2 linked regions of the Neodiprion lecontei genome follow. The protein of the gene in region 1 binds, or shares a complex with, the protein of each later gene. Links are inferred from orthologs where the notes say so. Each region holds a gene or a part of one and is shown on either strand. Other genes may lie near its edges. The genes, in order: RNA polymerase-associated protein CTR9 homolog and RNA polymerase II-associated factor 1 homolog.

The links.
Region 2: RNA polymerase-associated protein CTR9 homolog (region 1) and RNA polymerase II-associated factor 1 homolog share a complex: the UniProt entries of both Caenorhabditis elegans proteins name them as parts of the PAF1 complex. The link is inferred for Neodiprion lecontei from reciprocal best matches to the Caenorhabditis elegans genes ctr-9 and pafo-1.

Annotation. Positions count from the first base shown.
Region 1 is NC_060266.1:25,827,359-25,838,486, reverse strand, and holds RNA polymerase-associated protein CTR9 homolog, read right to left. Parts: upstream 7,587-11,128; 5' UTR 7,513-7,586; coding exon 7,474-7,512; intron 7,215-7,473; coding exon 7,116-7,214; intron 7,018-7,115; coding exon 6,778-7,017; intron 6,701-6,777; coding exon 6,128-6,700; intron 6,043-6,127; coding exon 5,923-6,042; intron 5,837-5,922; coding exon 5,526-5,836; intron 5,453-5,525; coding exon 4,927-5,452; intron 4,847-4,926; coding exon 4,652-4,846; intron 4,583-4,651; coding exon 4,466-4,582; intron 4,385-4,465; coding exon 4,074-4,384; intron 3,932-4,073; coding exon 3,591-3,931; intron 3,484-3,590; coding exon 3,297-3,483; intron 3,215-3,296; coding exon 2,654-3,214; intron 2,503-2,653; coding exon 2,406-2,502; 3' UTR 1,704-2,405; downstream 1-1,703. Other genes in the region: solute carrier family 35 member F2-like, read right to left, coding at 8,666-8,701, 8,776-8,974, 9,156-9,283, 9,539-9,749, 9,826-9,982, 10,080-10,251, 10,329-10,522, 10,609-10,718. UniProt on the Caenorhabditis elegans protein: Component of the PAF1 complex which is a multifunctional complex involved in transcription initiation via genetic interactions with TATA-binding proteins, elongation and transcription-coupled histone modification.
Region 2 is NC_060263.1:34,356,740-34,367,244, forward strand, and holds RNA polymerase II-associated factor 1 homolog, read left to right. Parts: upstream 1-5,162; 5' UTR 5,163-5,375; coding exon 5,376-5,446; intron 5,447-6,416; coding exon 6,417-6,497; intron 6,498-6,689; coding exon 6,690-6,782; intron 6,783-7,249; coding exon 7,250-7,574; intron 7,575-7,657; coding exon 7,658-7,801; intron 7,802-7,896; coding exon 7,897-8,000; intron 8,001-8,089; coding exon 8,090-8,306; intron 8,307-8,480; coding exon 8,481-8,724; intron 8,725-8,932; coding exon 8,933-9,357; 3' UTR 9,358-9,642; downstream 9,643-10,505. Other genes in the region: 2-oxoisovalerate dehydrogenase subunit alpha, mitochondrial, read left to right, coding at 70-214, 317-520, 674-937, 1,025-1,103. UniProt on the Caenorhabditis elegans protein: Component of the PAF1 complex which is a multifunctional complex involved in transcription initiation via genetic interactions with TATA-binding proteins, elongation and transcription-coupled histone modification.

The sequences.
Region 1 (11,128 bases):
TGAACTGCACTTAACTCAGAAGTTAGCTGCGCCCGCCAGTTTAGATTTCGAATTTTTAAATCCAACAATACACGATCGGTGTCACGTGACTACCTTCGGTCTGAACATTCAACTGTTCCGTTGGATCCTGAGCTGAACGGGTCGGTTTGAAAGTTCAATTCAATTCGAAATAGAAATTAAACTAGTAAACGCTGATATAATTGACTTTCGCTCAAGTATTAGACTGCTTGTAATATGATCGTATGTATAAATAATGTTTAACTCTTTGTAGAAGTTAGGCGAACGAAAGTCAGCCGCAAAGCTGAGCGTGGGACTAATGGAGAGAAAATTTTGGCTTTTTCTGTAATTATATTATATATTAGTGATAAACCTCAAACTAGACTAAATCTACATTGTTTCTTTATAAAAATCTATCAGTCTACAATCAACCGCCAAGATCTTGATTCTTGATCAAAACTTTTGGCAATTTCTGAACGCCGCAAAAGACAGTTGAAAAACGATCGTACCGCCATCTTGACAATCAGTGCGCGACCGTTAAATTCTTCTTCTCTCAAATAATTGCGCTAGAAAAGTTGATACGTTCTTTTCAGAGTCAAAAAATGTTCAGAGTAGACGCGAATTATCGGTTTACATTGTCCATACAATATCTCGGAAATAGGTCAGCTCGCGAAATCTACCAGTTCAATTTGTATTCATTGCGAAAGATCTCGAACATTCCGAGCTGCTTAGCCGCTCGGATTCGAACAGAGAAGTAAAATAACGCGTTCCACGACAATCGTGGTTGTTTTCTCGGTGCTATATGGAGAAACATGAACAGATAAACTACATCTGTGTATTATTCGCTTGGACGAAGCTGTGTGGAGATTCTCATGGAGCCATGCTTGTGTGTACCAGGACTCAAGCTGCAGCTTGAAAATAGAAATAGCAATGGTAAGAACACTTTCTTGATTGTTTGTTAACTGCTAAGTATATGTGTAAATTGCTTAAAAATTTTCACGAAAATTTGATGAAAATAATCAACCGATGATCTGGGATTACTTCTTAACTTTGCTTGATTTAATTGCAGTCACCGCTGATCCAAGATATGCTTCAGAAAGGACTGTAACCGCCTCGTAAATGCTGGACAACTACGTGTAACGGAGGAAGTCACAAGATGCAACAGCGCAGCTGTAGCGGTTAATCGAGAGCTGACTGGTGAGTTTTGCATGCAATATAAATTCTTCGACAGATCTGCCAGTTCGCACAATGGGTTTGCTCTGGGAGATAAATCGCATTGTCTATCGTTGTTCCTTTTTCATGGCGTGGCGGTAGAATTTATACATGTGTTTTCTAGCTCAGATTTGATTAGACTCATCTGTACCTGCGGCGATAATTCAAAGTTATACGAATATTCGAATTAATACTTGCCATTTGCTGAATTTGATGCAGCATTGTAATAGCTATTTATTATATTGTGAACGTCAAATATGTACTCGTTCCAAAGCGGTAAGCATAGATACGCGACAAGAAACCCGCTGCTTTACTAGGCTTGTAACAACGATGAGCTGTAACAATTCATTGATAGTAATTATTCATCTTTTAAGCTGCAAACTTCTCTGTGGTCCCATTCAAGTTTCAATTTTCGTCAAAACTTTTCACTAAATTTGTTTTTTGGATAGTAAGGTCTGTGATAAAAAAGGTTGTAAAAATAATAGGCAATCAAATGAATTCTTGTGTGTGATATTTTATTGATGGTTTCAAGGCGGGTAATTTTTTTTTCCACTGATACACAGAGTTTACAATAATTTCAATCCTGTATAGGTAAAATGTAACAGTTGTTAGATTTCTTTGTTGTTTCAACTCCTAAATTATCACAAATTTGTCGTTCTTAACGCTTCGATGATATTAAAACTCACATCATCGATGCTAATTCAATACGTTCTACTTACATAAATATATTTCTTTGCTTGCAAATTTGGCAACTCTGTTTTTCAGTAGCTAGCACGAAGGGTAACTCATTATCGTTAGTGTGAATGGTTCATTCCTTATTCGACTCACATACAATTACTCCTAGTTCCAATAGGCTTAGTATCAATTGAATAGTTTTGTCACTTTCTCGTTAATGTCATTCTCGCTACCTTCGAAATAGACACCATAGGTTTTGATCCTAAACCATTGGTTTTTATAATATTGCAAGAGTATTTTCAGTTTTTTTGTGCTAGCATGGTCTAGTTTATACAATTTGAAACTGAAGAGTACCCTTCGAATACCGATAAGACGTTGGCCAACTTGTGAATTGAGAATTAGTGAAAAAAATTATTTTTCTGATAATTAGGTTCAGGAAAAACTATAATAAAATTGGATATTGTATAGGTAGTTAAGGTAGTAATTATTAAATTAATGACAGTGAAATTGTCAGTTTTCAATTACTCACTACCGCTCTGTCCACCTCTTTGCGGACTCGAATGGCGAGAACCATCTTCGCTGCCAGATATCGATTTCCGAGACACAGGACTTGCGGATCTGTGAATATATTTCTCAATCAATAATAATAAGCAAGGGTTGTAAATCATCCAAGTCGGACTGGTGTAGAAATGAAGCATGAAAAGCATCAAAAATTCGAAGTATATTCGAAAATTGGAGTGGTAATCAAATATATAATTTTCTATCGTACCTTGCTGATCCGCTCGCACTTCTACTCCTGGAGCCACTTTTTGATCTCGATCTCGATCTTGATCCGGACCGTGACCTACTCCTACTCTTGGACTTGCTTTGGCCTGAGCCTGATCTTGATCGTGATCGTGACCTTGATCGCGATCTTGACCTTGATCCTGATTTCGATCTGGATCGTGATCTTGAACCAGATTTTGATCTTGATCTCGATCGTGAGCCGGATCCGGATCTGGATCTGGACCTAGAGTGACTTTTCCTCGAGCCACTGCTTCCTCTAGATCTGGATCGCGATCTCGAACCACTTTTTCTTGATCCGCTGTTAGATCTGGAGCGTGACCGTGATTGATTTCGCGACCTCGAGGCACTTTTGCGAGATGTAGATCTGGACCTAGATCCACTCCTGGATCGTGAACCGCTTCTTGAACGCGATCGGGATCCACTCTTTGAACGGCTGCTAGACTTTGACCTAGAACGAGATCTGGAACGTGAGGCACGAGAACCTTCGGACTCCGATGCGATTCTACGCCTTCCTCGCCCTGCGTTTTCTTCCCCGCTTTCGTTTCTGAAATATTAGCGAATTAAAATTAGACAATGGATCATCACAGGCATCTACAGTGAAATGAAAATACAGAATGATCACTCACCCGCTTGCCATGTTAGGCCTTTCATTATCGCTCTCAGATTCACTTGTCGAAATAGTTTCTTTAGAAACAATTCGCATTTTTTGTTTACTTGATAAATCAGCGGTGCCACTCTTGCGAAATCCTTTACCTTTGTTACTTCCTCCCGCTTTTCTGCCACGTTTAGTTTTCGGTCGATCACTTCCCGAACCTGTAGTTCATAAATGGGACCGATTTGTTAATGATTACAAAACATTCAAAACAGGATTTAAGCAGCCAATGAAAATATCAATTTATATTACTGATGTTCAAACTTACCTCCACTTTCTCCGCTGTTAGCATGCCTTTTCCTTCTTCCCTTTCCTGACGATTTCCGTTCCTTTCTCTCACCGCTGCTCTTTCTCTTGCGTTTTTTTTCTCTGGGAGCTGAATCTTCGGTACGTTCATTTCTATCTGAGCCACTATCGCTTAGATATTGTTCAGACCTTACTTTCCTACCCTTCTTTGTAGGCTTTTCTGATGGCATGTCACCAAATAGTAAAACATTTTTCGTTTTCTCCACATACTCTTGTCGTTTTTGTAACATGGCTTCTGATTTCTGGCGACGCATATCTTCCACCTTTTTCTGTTCTTCCGTCTGGCGTATTCTGAAGGCTTGTCTGTAAAAAAAAAAAAAAAAAAAAAAAAAATGAAAATGAAAATGAAACATTGAAAACAAATCGATTCACAGCATATTTCCATGTAGAAATTTTCGGCGCTTATTTATTTGAAAATTAACAGGAATGCTTATCCAATTGTTACCTTTCTTCCTCCTGCTTTTTTCGGAGGATTTTTTCCTCCTCATCCAGCCTTCGTGCTCGAGCAACGTGGTATTGCGCTTGCGACAGCAAATCCTGACATTTTCTTGCCTCAATTTCAGCAAGTTGATCCATTTTCTCACCCTGCATACCCAGGAATTGAAAATATTTGTGGGATAATCCTAATTCATGTACAGCTTGCAATACAATAACCAACGTCGATTTTTCATCCTTCAAAATTTGCGTCGCCAATCTTTGTAGGACCAGAGCAATATTGTACAACAGTAATGTGTCTTGGGGAGCTACTCTGCGAGCCTGGAATTTCGAGTAAATATCAGACGCGTCAGCGACGGAAATGAATAGAAAGAGTCATGTGTGACATTGCTGTTCCTATACCTTTAACAAAGTCATTTTAGCTTCCCTCAGTTTTCCAGCTTTGAAATAAGCTCTGCCCAAGTATTGAAGAACCTCTACGTGATGATACTTGTAGAATTTACGCAAGCAGTTTTCATACTGAAATAAAAATTAGTTTCAAAGCATGGTGAATAGATAAAACGATATTCGTTAATTCGTAATACCAACCATCTGAATAGCACTGACGAATTGTTTTTGCTCCACGTAAATGTGAGCAATGTTCAACCAGACATCGCAAAATTCAGCTGTTGCTTCTCTGACTTGGGCAAATATATCTCTGGCCTCGTTGACGCAACCTTTGTGAGCAAGTACAGCTCCTATACCGTTTGCGGCCCAAATATTTCTTGGATCATTTCTTAATACCTGAGAAATTCGATCATATCTTTTGAGTATAGCTTCGATCCACAAGGCTTTTCACGGTCATTAAAAGGGGTGATACTCACTTGCTTGAACATGGCCAAGGCTCTGTCCTGGTGCCGTTTTTCTCTGTCCTTGTCTTTCCCGCTTTGATGAAGAGTCTGCAGCCAAATATTACCCAAGGCAATAAGCGAGTAGGCATCTGTGCTGGTCGTTGGACTTTTCAGGATCCGTTCAAATTTTTTTTGTCCCGGTCCCCACTCCATTTTAGCCAAATGTAAGTTTCCCAAGAGTGACCAGGCGTCCGGATGCTCGTTATTTATCCTCAAGGCATCTTTGAACCAATCCGAAGCTTCGTAAATTTGACCCTTATCTCTGGCCATGCAGCCTAACCGCAAGTAGCAGTCCACATAATTCGGGTGTTCTTTTAAAATGTCTTTGTACAGTTTTTCTGCCCGGTCAAATACGCACAATGCTTCGTTTAGGCGAGCCAAATTATACGTCGTAGTGACTGCAATGGAATTGTAATAAACAGGATCTTGTTCAGCGTCAGTTTTCGACCTGGCCAAAGACTCCTCCAGGTTGTTTCTTGCCTCTTCTAAATTTCCAAGTCTAGTAAAACAGAAATTCTTTACTTCTGCAAACTCAGTTACAAAGGAGAATATACAATTCAGCTTCGACCTACCTGTAATGAAGAGCACCGACGTTATTAAGGATTTCAGGTGGAATATCAGCCTGAACTTTGTCTTTAAGAATTCTGGTGGCTGTAGCATAAGCATTCAATGCAGCCGTTAGATCGCTTTGCTCCAAAATCTGAGCCAATTCGATCCACGCTTCGACATCGTCGGGAAATTGCTCCGTTACTTTTCTCAGATGACTTTTGGCTATGTCTCTTTTCGACTGGGAGCTTGAGTTGGCGTACAAAGAGCCAAGAATTTTCATTGTTTCGTAATTGCCGGACTGGGCTTTCAGAACTTTTTCAAAACATTGCGCTGCCTGGAGGGAAATGAATTTGATAGAACACACGAACAAGTTCTTAGGTATACAAGTAACCTCTTGTCGGAACAATTGCGTTGTCTTACATTCTCGGCATCTCCACGATAGACGTACATTTGACCAAGGCCAAAATGAGGCAGGACGAAAACCGGGGGAGCGAATTGAGTCGCCTGATAATAGTATTGAAAGGCTTGGTCGTAATCTCCCTGAAAATATTGCGTTTAACGTGTAGTAAAGCGGCAGCACCGTTCAGAAAAGACTAAAACCGTTACCGCCGAGGTAGGTATTTACCTGGACGTGAAAGGCTCTGGCGAGTTGATAGCAGCTCTCAGCACGCATAGCCTCGTTTTCGGTATTATGAAAAGCGTGCAGAGCCAAATGTTGTACTTTGTTGTAATCTTTCTTGAAGAAGAAATGATTCGCCAAATGGTTCAGAACCATCGGATTTGTCGAGTCTATCGTGTAGGCCTTGGACAACATTTGAACACCCGTTCTGATGCTGTCCGGCTGCTGCTGATTCAATTTAAGTACCGACAGGCCGACCAGAGCTCCGACGCATTGCGCGTCCAACTGCAAAGCTCTCTCAAACGCCATTTTGGCTTTGTCCTGGTTACCCAGTTTCATAAAACAATGTCCCATTCCGAGTCTGACCGCCGCCGGGCAATTGGGATTCGTCCTGAGTGCCTTTTTGTAAAATGCCAAAGCTCCGCGATAGTCTTTCTTGTTAAAAGCTATACACGCCTTCCCCAAGAGCGACGGAATGTTGTTAGGCGATTGGTTCAGAACGAAGTTAAACTGTGCATCTGCCTGTTCCATTTTGTCCCCTTCGAGGAGGCAGAAATAGGCTCGACCGAGGAGATGATTCTGTAGGAATAATAAAACAAAATTAATCCTTGCCTGCTTCTGTCACGTTTCTACCTCAAGGTGGATCCAAAACTTACCTGGTCGTACATGATAATTTTGTCCGCCGTAGTGTAGAGCAACGTTGCCTTGGTGAAGAGATCTCTCTTCTTGTCCTTGTTCTTCTCGCGATTCGCCTCCTGGACGTAGTACGCGGCCAGCATGTCCAGTGCTCGCATCTGGTCTTTTTCATAATCCCTGTAGTCGATGTTTGCGTCGATCCTCGACGACTCCAGAATCTTAATAAAATCCTCGATCTTCTGTTGTTTGTAATACTCGAGCTGTGCGTAAAGAAATATCAGTCGGTTAATATTTATACGTCTAATTGGTAAACGGTGACACGCCTAATGTAGGGCCTAAATCAAAGCAGAACTCTCACCGCCAGGTTGACCCAGATGCTGAGCTGGGCATGTTCCTGCCGCAAAATACCGAGAACCTCATCGCCGTCGGGTAATTGATCCAGGTACAATTCGATTACCTAGTTGCGGAAAGAGGAGTTATTCATCCGTATTGCGAATTGGGAAGCGTGGATTTGTAAGTTGCCTCGATAGTAAATGATACACAACGAGTGCGTCGGTTTTCTCAGGAGAAGCCCCGCTCGTCTAGGTTATGTTGGGTGTGTTTGACACGCAGTCGGCTCGTTTACGAACAAGATACGCGGGCCTCGAACTTGGTTGATGAGAAATCGAAACCAGCTTAATTGGTCGTAAAATAAGGTAGATATTATGAAAATTTACCTCGTCCGTATCACGAAGAGGTATCTCGATGCTCGCCATCGCTTCGGCCTTTAGCGCTCGCCACGGTCTCGCTACGATCGCTACTGAAGCGAATTGAATAGTGAGACGAGCGAGACATCGTTGCCGTGAATGAAATCGGCGCTTGCGCGAAACGTGACACGGTGTACTTTTCAATCGCGTTATTACTTTCCGCACGTTTTCTTTTCAAAAAGAATTTATCGTATACACCGTGAATTTCTTTCTGTTGGAATTTATTTATTTAAAACGGTATTTCGAGTCTTGCAGTTGGATTATACAAAATTTACAAGATATACCACACTATTCAGGATGTGTATAATCAGTTTTTGCTGGTTTCATTTTTTTTTTTTTTTTTCTACAGTCCTTGAAGTATTATATTTATTTCAAATTGAATCCACATTAATTTAAACACAAATGATACTTTCCTATTTATATAATCATACGTTATAATAGGGTTACATAAATTACAGTTTGAAGATAACCATTTTTTGTTTTTTTTTCGTATGTACACAAATTTCAACACAATTGTTAATCAAAGAATTACAACTTATTAATTACTGCAAGACGTGAAATTGAATCTTGAAAATCACGATAAATAATATTAATAATCGTAACGAATGTAGATAAAAAAAATTTCCTGTGCCGTGTATGGATTTCATTCGTTTTGTTTTCTTGTGCGTCTTGTTGTGAAATCGAATTTAAAATGATCATTGACATTTGGCACATTTTTTTTACTACTTTAATTACGAAGTTTTGTTATATTTTGGTTAAAAACGTCTTTTTCCGTTTCGTTATAGCTTTGCATTTTTCATTTTATATTTCTATAAAGTGGCATTAACGTTTCAATTATCTAAATGCTACTCTAAACGTATGCAGTATTGTATCGTAATAATTAAATATTTATATCAATTACGGATCGATCATACATCGACAACATTATACCTAATATAATTAGCGCCTGAATTTCTTATTATCATTGTATAATCATTATTGTAAATACAAATGTTAAGTCTGTTGCTTTCGGGTGATGATTGTGATGTTTTTATTCTTTGCGTCGACGTGTATATGATAATTAATGTGTGCGCGTGAAGTTTTGCGTTTGAATAATGGATTTCGAATTAACTATACGCACAGTACGGTGGTAAAATTGTCTCATCATGTCAATGGATAATTATTAGCATGCCGCACCACCACCGTTCGTCGTTACCGTCTGAAACAAAATATTACGCAGTCATACGAATGAAATTTAAGGGAATATTCTTTTTCCAAAACCAGTTCCCGCACCTTTAGATTCACCTGACTGCCATAAAACGAAGTAAAGGCCGTGTCCGAGCTGACGCTCAAAGGAAGACTCGTGGCGTCGATGATGGCTTCTCGTTCGCTGCTCAGCGTCGAGGCGCGTAAATCGAGGGTACCGCTGACAGCCGACATTCCTGAACTCGTTGCCATTTCAACTTCACCAACGTCGGGATGTGACATGTGTCTTAAAATAATGTCGCTTTAATCGATCGTTGTAAAATATTAGCCAAGTAAACACGGAGGGGTGGACGCGCGCCACAGATTCCATGCTTTAAACACACCTGCTAAATCGACAAGCTTGAAAATCGACGTCAACTATAGGTTTAAAGCATAAAATCCGTATAGCGAATTTTACTAGCTCGTACCTGTAGTCCGGGGCCGGCTGCTCGACTTGCTGTCTTCTTGAACTTGACGAAATCGGTGTCCGTTGAATCGCGTAAATATATATGCCGCTCATCGTCAAGGTGTAAGAAACGAAGTAGAGCGTATGAAACTGGAAAAGTAACGGTGTGAGTACGAATCGACCGAAAGCACGTTTGATAAGGGACCGTTCAACTATCAGCCGACGTATTTTTTTGCAAATTTTTGTATTTCCTACCAAGTGATAACTTGTTTTGCCCAGCCACTGTTTTTCATCGTTAGCTAACGCGTTTTCAAAAGTTTATTGGCCAGCGTTATTATTTGTGTTAGCGTTGGCTGATACTTGAACGGCCCCTAAGATACCGTGATAAAAAAATAAGAAAAACACCTTGTACTGGTTCGTCAACATCCCGAATAGAATGTTGAAGAAATCCGCAGTCAGGAGTGCGAGCTGAAGCGCAGTTGCTCCTGATTCGAAAAGGATCACAGGTACAAGAGAGTAAAACACGAACTGAGTGATGCAGTAGAGGATGAGGAACGTTATTACAGGAGCGTTGTCCCAGCAGAATGATTCCAGTTGTAGCCGCTCGAGAACGCCCCTGATTTAATTATAACAAAGACAAGTCGCTTCGCTGGATTGCAGTGTTCAATGTTAAAATGTCGGTAATCACTTACACTTGCATGCAGCTGATGATCGTGCCGAAAAATCCTATCATTCCCAGGTACTCTATGATGTCAACGGTCTTTACGGCCAGTTCCTGGAGGACTGTTATCACGGAGAACAAGATCGCGCCACCCAGACAGAGCATGTCACCGACGAGTTGATTTTTGCCTTAAAAAGACAAAAAACAAAAAAACAATCAGGATTCCCCCTTTTGACGTTGACGGATCATGATCGGAACCAATTTTTCGACTCGATAAAGACAAACCAGTCATAGCTGTTGAGTCCTTGTCGTCCTCGATGTCCGCCCACACCAGGCTTCCGATGGCCATTAGGCAGACCGAAACTCCGATAATGTGCACCATCCTGTATCTGACTCCCAGAACCAGGCAGGATAGCGCTAAAGCAACTGGAATTGCCACGCAGTCCAACAATAAGAGCTAACAGAGAAAATGGATGTGATGATCGACTTGATAAACGTAAAAAATAAAAAACTAGGAAGAAATCTTGAACCCACTTGTATACTGGCGAGGCTTGTGAACTGATGAGAGGCCGTGACCAAGGTTTTCGCCTCGACGTCGATCAGCGCGAGTAAAAGATAACGCCATCCTCTTGCCCTGGTCACGGATATTAATCCGTTGCCAACCCCCCTGCAGGACATCCACGTCGTGTAGACGATGCACATCATGGCGTAATGGGGGAGATTCTGACCTGTTGAAAAAACGACGAGGAAAAAATATCGATGCAAGAGAATAGATGACGCGGTTTACAATCTTCGAATGTATGTATGTACGTACCTGTTGGCAAGGCGAGGTGGTATTCGGTGTTTATGTGGTGGTTGAAAATCGTCATGAAGCACAGTACGACGGACAGAAATTGACCCAATATTATGGTCTTCCATACGGACCTGCGATTTTTCGTATTACAGGTTGTTTGAACAAATACGATATAATGTCGTAACAATTAATTTGTAATAATCGTGGTCGATTCTTTTTGGGGAAATTGATTTTCAACTTTGCGCTGCTTTTTTATTTCTTGTCGAAAATTGAATCGTTCCATTTTCAGTTTCGAATGAACAAAGGAAAGAATGTTGCAATAGGTGCGGATAATATACAAAGACGCGGCGTAAAGCGATGCGTGCTTTTCCTTCGTGGCGCTTCTAACCCAAAAGGTGTTTCCAATATTTGCATCGATTTGACAATATTCTTCAATCGCTTTGTTTGCGCAGTTTAATTTGAAAGAAAGCAACAGACCCGCGATCAAAGTCTTCAAAATCGACGAAAACATTTAAATAAAATATAAAACTCAATTCAAAAT
Region 2 (10,505 bases), on another chromosome or scaffold:
TAAAGTAATTTAGATACGAAATCCATCCACATTTTGTAACTAATTACATGTTTTTTTATATTCCGTCAGCCGTTGGAGCAGCGTACGCATTGAAACTGGCACATTCGGACCGTTGCGTTGCCGTTTATTTCGGAGAAGGTGCAGCTAGTGAAGGAGACGCGCACGCCGCTTTCAATTTCGCAGCTACTCTCGATTGTCCCGTTATATTTATATGGTAAGTGGATGCAGAATTTGGAAAACTACTAGTTTGAACACTTCATCGCCAACAATACATCTACTAAACATGCGAATGGAATTTAAGGATTTAATTTTTTAGTCGGAACAATGGATATGCAATTTCCACTCCAGCTCGTGAGCAGTACAAGGGAGATGGTATCGCGGCCAAAGGACCTGCGTACGGTATTAACACAATTAGAGTCGATGGAAACGATATATTTGCAGTACACAACGCTACGCGTGCAGCGAAAGAGTGGACTTTGGCAAACGGAAAGCCTGTGCTAATCGAAGCAATGTCATATCGGTATAAAACAATCATTACTTCGTAATATTGTTCACTGATGTTTGTTGTTTGTAATTGGTAGTTGTTATAATCACTTAATTGTGACGTTTAGTACGATTGTACGCTCTGATAAAATTACGGTAGCTAATGAGTAATCATTTTTCATGCGTTTAGAATTGGTCATCACAGTACCTCTGATGACAGTTCTGCGTATCGATCAGTGAGCGAGATTGCCGAATGGGAAAAACTGCAACCGATCGCAAGATTTCGCCAGTGCCTAGAAAAATATGGATTGTGGTCTGAGGAGCAGGAAAAAGAATTCGTATCGTCGATCAAAAAGCAGATACTATCGGATTTTGCAGCGGCCGAAAAGAACGTAAAACCCAACTGGAAGGAGGTGTTCACTGACGTGTACTACAACATGCCAGATCATATTAAGTACGTTTACTTTGTACGATCAATGCGAGATAACTGAACGTGTGAAACAATCGGGAGCTAATGGAGTAAACGTTTGATTTATTTTAGGAAACAATCGGAAGCGATGGCAAAGCACGTCGACCAGTACAAAGAACATTATCCAGTAGAACTTTACAAGCAACAGTGAATCAGGTTTAAAATAATTCCAATCCCGAAAACAAATATCGATCTTTACTTACGTACCTTCATTTTTGGGAATCTGAAAACTTTTTCTGTACCTTTGAAAATATATATATAATTTAATCAACAATTCTTCGAGTTTTATTTTGTAAATATCCCGCACGCGTTAAAACTTTAACCGACCGCAGAGAACAAATATGTATAAAGAATACGTATGAATATATTAAGTTTCAAAAAGTATATCGGTAAAAATTGCTGTTTTTATTCGCTAAATCAAAAGTAAATGCAACACTCGGCATGCTTCTCCGATGACGCGCCCGAAACTTGTGTCGCTGCATGAAAATTTAGCCTAACGTTCGTGAAGTTAGGTTCAAGAATTTAGGAATACATAAACATGCCAAGACCCTGGGTTATTTTTCGTAACGGTTTGCCGGGTCTGGCCGGGTTTGGGGGTATTAGCAGTTTCACGTATTATCAACCAAGTAATTGATCATGCCGGTAAAAGAAGTTCTTCATAACCAACAATTATCGCGTGCAAAACGTTGGTAACATATCGTCGTCATCGCAAAATTGAAAAGTTGAGAAAATCTCGTGCAAGAAATACGTACGCCGAAATTATACAACGGATAAATAAATGTCAATCAAATAGGTATGTCGGAGACGTGTTTTTGTTTGCAAAACTATGCGAGAAGTCTGCGAAACATCAGAAACGTACAATCTAAATATTACTGATCAAACCTCGACTCAAATTGATGCAGTTTAAACTGTTGAAAAATATCGAAAAACTTAACTTCCAGGAGTTTAGATGTGCATATACATGATTTTGCAAATGGGTGAAGCAGGGTAAAAAACTACAGCCTAAACTTTGCAGAGAAATTAAAAACATTTAATTCAGTTAACAGTAACATTCGTCAAATATCAGAATCAACTTTCTACGAATAACAATTTTACACTCAACGGTAATTGATATCAATTTAAACTAGTATTGCCAGTTCATTCTAATTCTTTATTCCGACTGTCCATTCCCTGCGTAAAGGATTAGTGATTAGTGACGTGTGATTACGCGTAAACGATGAAGTCGTCTGGTTCAAGGTTCAGTTCATTACTTATTTTAACACATTAGTTTAACAATAAGTAATTTCTGGAGCAAGGCTCCGATTTGTTAGGGGGTGTTCCGTGTTATTCTCCAACTACGGCAAAAGTCTGCAAAATAAACAATAAATTGAAAAATACGATGTACAACCTATTACTGGTGAGATGCTAACGTCAGAATATTGTCTCAGAAAAGACCAATCGATTGTTGGAAGCAGAACACTTTTGAAGCTTCCGAACGGTCTTACAACTTTTCCGCTATGTGTTTTTCACAGAAATATCGTAATTTAAAGAGTGCACGTCTCCAAACTTCTTGGTACGACCTTTGACGCATTCATTCGAGCGATAAACAGTTCAGCATGAAACCATCCGTATATAATTGATAAGGATTTGATTACAAATAATCCGGAAAATCCATCTTCAGGTGGTATCAGTCGTTATAGTTTCTCATATCCAATTTAGAATTGTAATTAATTGACATCGTTTTTCAAAAAAGTTTTATTAGTGGAACGTAGGATTGAGCTGCATTAAATAACGTTCAATTGTTATTAATTTACTTTATATCGGCGAAACCTTATTCGGATATTATTTATCAATGTCACTTTTTGTCTATGTAAATTTGGGTTGCATGTTCCAAAAATTGGATTCATACTGTAAGTTCTGTCTTTCGGACTTTCAACATTTAATTAACTAGTAATTTTCTACCGAGTTGATCAATGCATCATTTTCATTCGCGTTTAATCATAATAATTTATAAATTTTACCTCCTCAACACTACAACACTCGGTAAACTTTCAACTTTCGTCCTGAACGACACAATTGCAAGTCATATTGTTATTACTATATGGAGAATCTTCTTGTAAAAAAAATTCCAGTACTGACAGGTAATTTGTGGACAATTCGTACACTTTGACAATATTTCCTGGTGAAAATAGTAGAAGATAAATAGTTTGTGATGAATAACATCTTAAAAATATGAGCATTTCCTATAATTCTGACTAAAAAATATCGTCAAAGTTTACGAGGTGTCCGCAAATTACCATTCAGTATGGGATTTCTTGTTACAAAAGGTATCTCGATTGTAATGTAGTTCACTTTCCTGAAGAAATAAAATTCAAAAATGACTCCTTACTGATGGATATTGTATGGCCGGATATCCGGCCAAATCGCTATCCGGCACATCCCTAATATTATTATTAAGGGTTATCAGTAAAATGCAGAAATTACGGGTAAAATAGTATCGACTTCGTCGGGTATATGTATTATATTCTCAAACTCGCAATTCCTAATAATCGATACGGGCACTGCCATAAATGTATAATAAAGCGGACAGATACGGGCAATTATAATCTGGGCCACTTGGTAATAAATTTCTGAACAATCCTGTGTTTGGAGGTCAGCGGACAGAGTCGTAAACTAACCAGGTAATGAGTAGAAGTTGTAAAAAGGAACCTTGATCATCTTTACATTTGTTTTTTATTACTTTTGAGATAATGATTGCCTAAGGATCATCAGGGTTTGTTACAGCATGGACTCAAATATTAGTAACAATCGAATGTTGCCTTATTTCTAAAAAATATTGACAAGTAGTATTTTTGTGTAGAATGGTCTGGGTTTTCCGATGCAAAGAAACTGTATTTTTAACAAACCAGGGGAATATAAAGTAACCATCGAGAAATTATAGTTATAGTTTCGATTTCGAGCAATTATTGCTGTAGCGTTAAAGTGTCCAGGTTTCGAATTGAGGGTTGCGCGTTTGAGGTTTGTAAATATTAAGTTAGATTTTGGTTAGTGGGCTGCAAGCTCAGTATATTAAGAAGTAGCGTGGGTTACGAATAATTTTCTACTGTTTAATTTTGGATCACGAAGAGCAAATTTTGAATTCCTTTTTTTTTTATTTGTTTTTGTATCGCCGCTATTGCAAAATGTATTATTTTATTTTATTTTTGTTAAATAGCGTGTCGTTGTCGAGTGTCTCTCTATCTGTCTTTCTCCCTCTCTCCAAAATTACCCCTCCCCTCGCCGCGGTACTGAACTACCGAGAATATTACCCGAGGTTTAGTGGAGATAAAGATTTCAAGCAGTATTGACCACGCCAGGCGCCCAAGAGAATCTCGCGATATCGTTTGCATGGTCTTTATTTTTCAGCGTACATCGCGGACCGCCAAATGATTGTACGCGCTGTAAGTTATCAGTCGCATCTCCGGGTGGCCGAGGTGCAGTAAAAATCAGCGTCACAGTACACAAATTACGTAAGGAATAACTATATGTCTTCTCCTTTGGTTAAATTAACTCCTTCGACTATTTCTCCTATTATTTGCATCAAGAATAGGTTTCTAACTCTGTTAACAGTAAACCAGGTGTATATTTATTGTGCATCTATTTAGATAACATTAATTTTGTCTATCTGATGGAATTACATTAACATTACCGAATGTGGCAAGGCTCAAATGAACTTGCATAGTTGAAAAGTATAGATAGATAGACAGATAGATACGTCATTCGACTCGGCAAAATCTAGATACACGCGGTGAACGATTAGTAACATCAGTTCTTGTCGTCTTTATGTACCAACCATTTGCCGGATTGGGTTGCGCGTGCACGGCAGGACCATAGACTTATAAAAGGTAGACTGAAGCAAAAATTTAAAGGACAGAAATATGCCGGGAGTACTCCTTTCTCTCTCTGACGATATTTGCGGCGGGGATCGAGGCGGTAGAGGAGAATGAGGCGAAATTATGCACCTATGTCTATAGCTGTTCCAGTTCCCTACGCCCTTGTCTCCCGGTATGAAATCGATTGAAAAGAGAGAGCAGCCTCCCAATATATCTCTGTCCTTTATATGTAAGCTTCAGTACCTCTTGTAGGAGCGCTCAGACTATCTTTATAAGTCTATGGGCAGGATGCAGAGGGCGCCGCTTGACGATGCATTTGTCACGTCCACATTCCATTACGAAAAGTCCCATCAGGCTATCAATCTTTGCGTATCCTTAGTCGACGCATAGTGTGAGAGGGTAAACAGTGGTTAAGGGACAGGGGATGGATGTATGTTCGTGGTTAAAAACTTATAGGTTATACGTTATAAAAATATTCATAAATATCGGAGTGCGGTATCGTGATTAGTTAGAGTACCTATAATAATTCGTGAATAATATGTGCAATTGACAAATACATCGCTACTTACGCTATGGCGCCAACCATTCAGACAAATAGCAGTAACGACAGGGACAAGCGAACTGCTAGGCCGATTGAGAAGAGGTAAATTATATGAACCGCTATATATTCTAACTCCCTGCCAACACTTTTTACTGCCACAACCCTATCAAAAATCTCTTCTGTATATACTCTTGAAGCAAACTAGTTAAATTCTGCATGTAAACGTTACTTTGCACCCTTTTACAGGGTCTGTCCGGAAAGTAGTCGAACTGAATTTTTCTCGCCCAGAGAGAGCGACAGAGACCTTTTCGTGTGGATCGGGTTGTCGGCAGTCTTAGCTAAGAAGCGCACATGTCCCCAATCGCTTTCGAGTCTTTCCGGAGTGTAGGTCGATTTTAAAGTGAACCCCGGTCAAGGTGCCTCGTCACGACCTCTTGAATGGCCTGGACCAAGCCGTGGTGCCATCCTTTCGGAACCCGTTTGAGTCGAGGGAAAAGAAGGAAGTCTGCAAGAGCTACATCTGGGCTGTAGGGTGACTGGGGATTTTTGATCATTTCATGGGCTTCACTTGCGGTTGAACTGAGTTCAAAACAAAACTTTATCGCGCAATGCTGCTCGAATAAACGATTCGTTGCGAAGCGTGACGAGGCACCTTGACTGGAGTTCATTTTAAAATCGACCTACACTCTGGAAATGCTCGAAGGCGATTGGGGATAGGTGTGCTGCTTAGCTAAAACTCCTCACAACCCGACCCACATGAAAAGGACCTCTTTCCGTCGCTCTATCTGGGCGAGAAAAATTCAGTCCGACTACTTTCCGGACAGACCGTGTATACTAGCATCTAAACGTTAATGATATCAGCAAACTATCGATTCATTTTACCCGACCAAATTTATGTCATAGCTTAGAGAGCAAATTTTGCTATAACTTGTAGTCTCTGAGACTAAGATCTTTGTCTGCCGTAATGCAACTATTTTGATGATCGTTAAATTTGATCATTCACCTCGCTTGAAAAATTGATCAAAATGTTCCTGTTCATTAATGTAACATTTTCTATTTACATCAATTACAGTGGGAATCAGATGACCTCTGGCATTCAGTCCAACAATAATAAAGATGCCATTGATAAACGTCCTAGACCAGCTGAAAACAGGTATATATCTTACATTAGTACATAACGATTTAAAAGATTAACAGAAGAAAAAAAAAAACATGAATGCAAACATCAGTTGTATTTCAAGCTGAGAAAATATAAAAAAAGAATGTGCACAAAATCTGATATTGCAACCTGTCTGCAGAAAATATTGGTCGATTCAATTAAACATGTTTCACTTGTGATTTTCAGGTCTGAATTATTATGCCGTGTAAAGTACTGTAACACCCTACCAGATATTCCATTCGACCCAAAGTTCATCACATATCCATTTGAATCAACAAGGTAATAGAGCTAACATATGTTGCAGTTCACTAATAATTGTAATACAGTCGAACCTGGATAAGCGAGAGTTCAAGGGACTGCAATCTCTTTTTCGCTTATAGAGGTTTTTCACTAACCCGAGTTTCTAGCTTACAGAGGTACATGAAAGGTCTGTCTCACTGACGTGACAATTACTCTTACTTACAGAGTTTTCTCGCTTACCCAGTCCTCATTCAGTTTTGACTGTATGTGGTTAATGATTAGCACCAGTATACTTTAAAATTATCTAATTCTCGAGTAATGTTACGAAATTGAAAAAATGTCCACTCTAACAGTTTGCAGATTAAATCCGGTTATATAACCCGATATTTTAGAGAATTTTAGCTGTTTTAGGAATGTAATTTAAAATATTGACATAACCAAAGTAATAAAACTGTTATTTTGTTGGTAGTACTTCAGATATAATAAGAGCTTTGTAAATCATACAGATTCATACAGTACAATCCGACATCTCTGGAACGTAATTATAAATATGAAGTATTGACGGAGCATGATTTGGGTGTTGAGATTGACTTAATAAACCGGGACACCTATGCTGGAGATATTAACGCCCAACTTGATCCTGCGGACGAGAAACTTCTGGAAGAAGACATCCTCACTCCTCAAGATTCAAAACGTTCTAGGCATCATGCGCGGAGTGTATCATGGCTCAGACGTACGGAGTACATCTCCACTGAACAGACACGGTTTCAACCCCAAACTATGGACAAGGTTGAGGCTAAAGTTGGTTACAGTATTAAAAAGAATTTCAAGGTAATGATATCTGTTTTTCTAATGTCAAAGTCAAATCATGATGTGTGGCATTTCAAGTAATGCATGATTTTATTTGTTGACAGGAGGAAACATTATACATGGATCGAGAAAGTCAGATAAAAGCTATAGAGAAAACATTTGAAGACAATAAAAAGCTAATTGAAAAACATTACAGCAAACCAAACGTTGTGCCTGTTGAAATATTACCTATCTATCCTGATTTCAAGGTGAGCAATAACTGACGATTTTTCCTTTTATTTTGGACCTATTATTAGGAATATTAAGGCACTTGTTAATCTCGCTTATTTCATACCACTCACAGGTATGGAAGTACCCATGTGCTCAGGTAATATTTGATTCCGATCCAGCTCCGACTGGTCGATCAGTACCTGCGCAAATTGAGGAAATGTCGCAGGCGATGATCAGGTAAACTTGAGAATTTGTGCAGGCAAACTTGTAAATCCCAACTGGATTTTACGACAGTCTTTAACTTGATATTTCATACCTTTCTGCAGAGGTGTGATGGACGAAAGTGGTGAACAATTCGTTGCGTACTTCTTACCACTAGAGGAGACATTAGAAAAACGTCGCAGAGATTTCACTGCAGAAATTGACTATGCCGATGATGAGGAGTACGAGTACAAAATGGCAAGAGAGTATAACTGGAACGTTAAAAGCAAAGCTTCAAAGGGATACGAAGAGAATTACTTCCTTGTCATGCGTCAGGACGGGGTTTGTAATATTTGTATACCTTTTTTAACAAAATCGCAATTCGGTATATTAATTCTTATGTCTTAAATTGAAGCGATATCGAACTCAAGAATACTGTAATAAGTTCAATTTTTAGTAGTCTAGTATTTCGAAAGTGCAAAATTTCTCACATTATATCGTCTTTTCACTGTATAGGTTTACTACAATGAGCTGGAAACTCGAGTACGTCTTAGCAAGCGTAGACAGAAGGCTGGTCAGGCACCTAATAACACAAGATTAGTTGTGCGCCACCGACCATTGAATGCCAATGAATTCAGGATGCAACGTTATCGTGAGAAGCAGCTTGAACCACCCTGTGAAGATGACGAGGAAGAGGAAGAGGAAGAAGAGGAAGAGGAAGAGGGACAACCACAAGAAACTGAAAAGGCTGAAGACAAAGGTATACCGAGACATTTAAAAGTTCTTTTGAAAACAGAAAATTCGTGTAAAATAAACACTTTTTCTTTGACCAGTAACCATAATGTTTTGTTCGTCGTTTTTAATACCTTGGAAAGAACTTTGTCTAGACTAAAGTCGAGAGTTTGAATGTATATTATGTATAACATCCGTTTCTGAATGATAATGAAACCTATTTGTGTACTTTTCAGCTGGCTCTGATAATGAAGGCGGTTCCCGTGCATCGTCGCGTGCATCTTCGCGAGCATCCAGTAAGAAGTCACGATCTCGTTCAAAGTCAAGATCACGTTCAAAATCAAGATCTCGATCAAAATCTGGATCGCGTTCAAAATCTAGGTCTCGTTCAAAGTCACGCTCCCGTTCAAAATCTCACAGCAAGTCTAGGTCTCGTTCGGGATCTGCTCAATCTAGAAGTACTTCAAAATCACGATCTCAGTCCAGATCTCGATCACGGTCCAAGTCCAGATCCCGATCACGGTCTGGTTCTGGTTCGCCCATTAAGTCTCCATCGCAGTCACCGTCAAGATCTAAATCGCGATCAAGATCAAGGTCTGGTTCAGGAAGTGGCAGCGGGAGTGGCTCGGGTAGCAGTGACAGTGGTTCCGATAGTGAGTGATCTGGACTATAAGTTTAATTGTATTATTAGCATAAGTGAGCAATCGATTACCTGTCACCGTTAGTCTCCCACTCACTCGCAAATAAGATAATCAAGGAAGTGTGCAACATTTCGTTAGGCTTAATTACGGGGCTATCTGTTTGTTTGGTAGCCTTGTTCATGATAAACTTTGGTGATGTACAGAATCTGCATTGACTACAATTAACATATTAGGGATTTTATATAAAATATGTCAATGGTAGTTACAATTTTTAATAAAACAATTTTCATTAAATGCACCCCAAATACTTTTGTGCAACTCATTGTCAGTCACTAATTTCTACCAGCTTATTCTCAGTAAGAACCAATAATTCAATACATTCCAGTACCTCTTAATTTTACACCAAATTGGCCTGAATGAAATCCGAAAAATGATGTAACCAGAGTATGAGCGCGAGAAAATCCTGCTTCTACACACCTATAACCGAATGAAACAACTTCAATCAAATAGAACTGTTAGACCCAAAGTAACACCAATCGCCCACCGATATTTACTTGTTATAAGACGTCAACAAACAACATTCATACGGATAAAATGATGACTCGACATATGCATTTCTTCATTGACCCAGCATATCTTTCACTATGAGTCGAGTGGATAGCAGACTTTAGGGTCGAATCCTTCACAGTCGCTCAGCTATGTACGTAACAAATCACCGCGGTGGCAGCATGCAATTCTGATCAAAAACGATCCAGCAAAGTACCACAGTGCCTTATGTTGCCCCAAATTCCACTGTAACTTCATGGTATTTGGACTGCTATTGGAACTCGAAATTTCGAATGCAATATCTGGTGGGCAAAAGATTTTGTAAATACATTAAACATCGCGATTGAAGATAAAATCAAAAAAAACTAGGGGGATTTTTCAGTAAGTGAACATACCTGTAACTTATCCGAGCGGTAATCATGGGGTGAATTCTGTTTGGTGGTCTGTGATTATTGACTGAAGGAGAGAAAGGTAAATGATTGATATTCACGTACTGATCGATGTGATCATTCGAGTCGAAAGAATACGCGTTATGTAACGACTAAACGTGAGTAGAATGCAACAGAGTAGGCGAACGTTGTTTAGGTCTCATTTTCGTTACTATTCTGCAGAAGTATAGAAA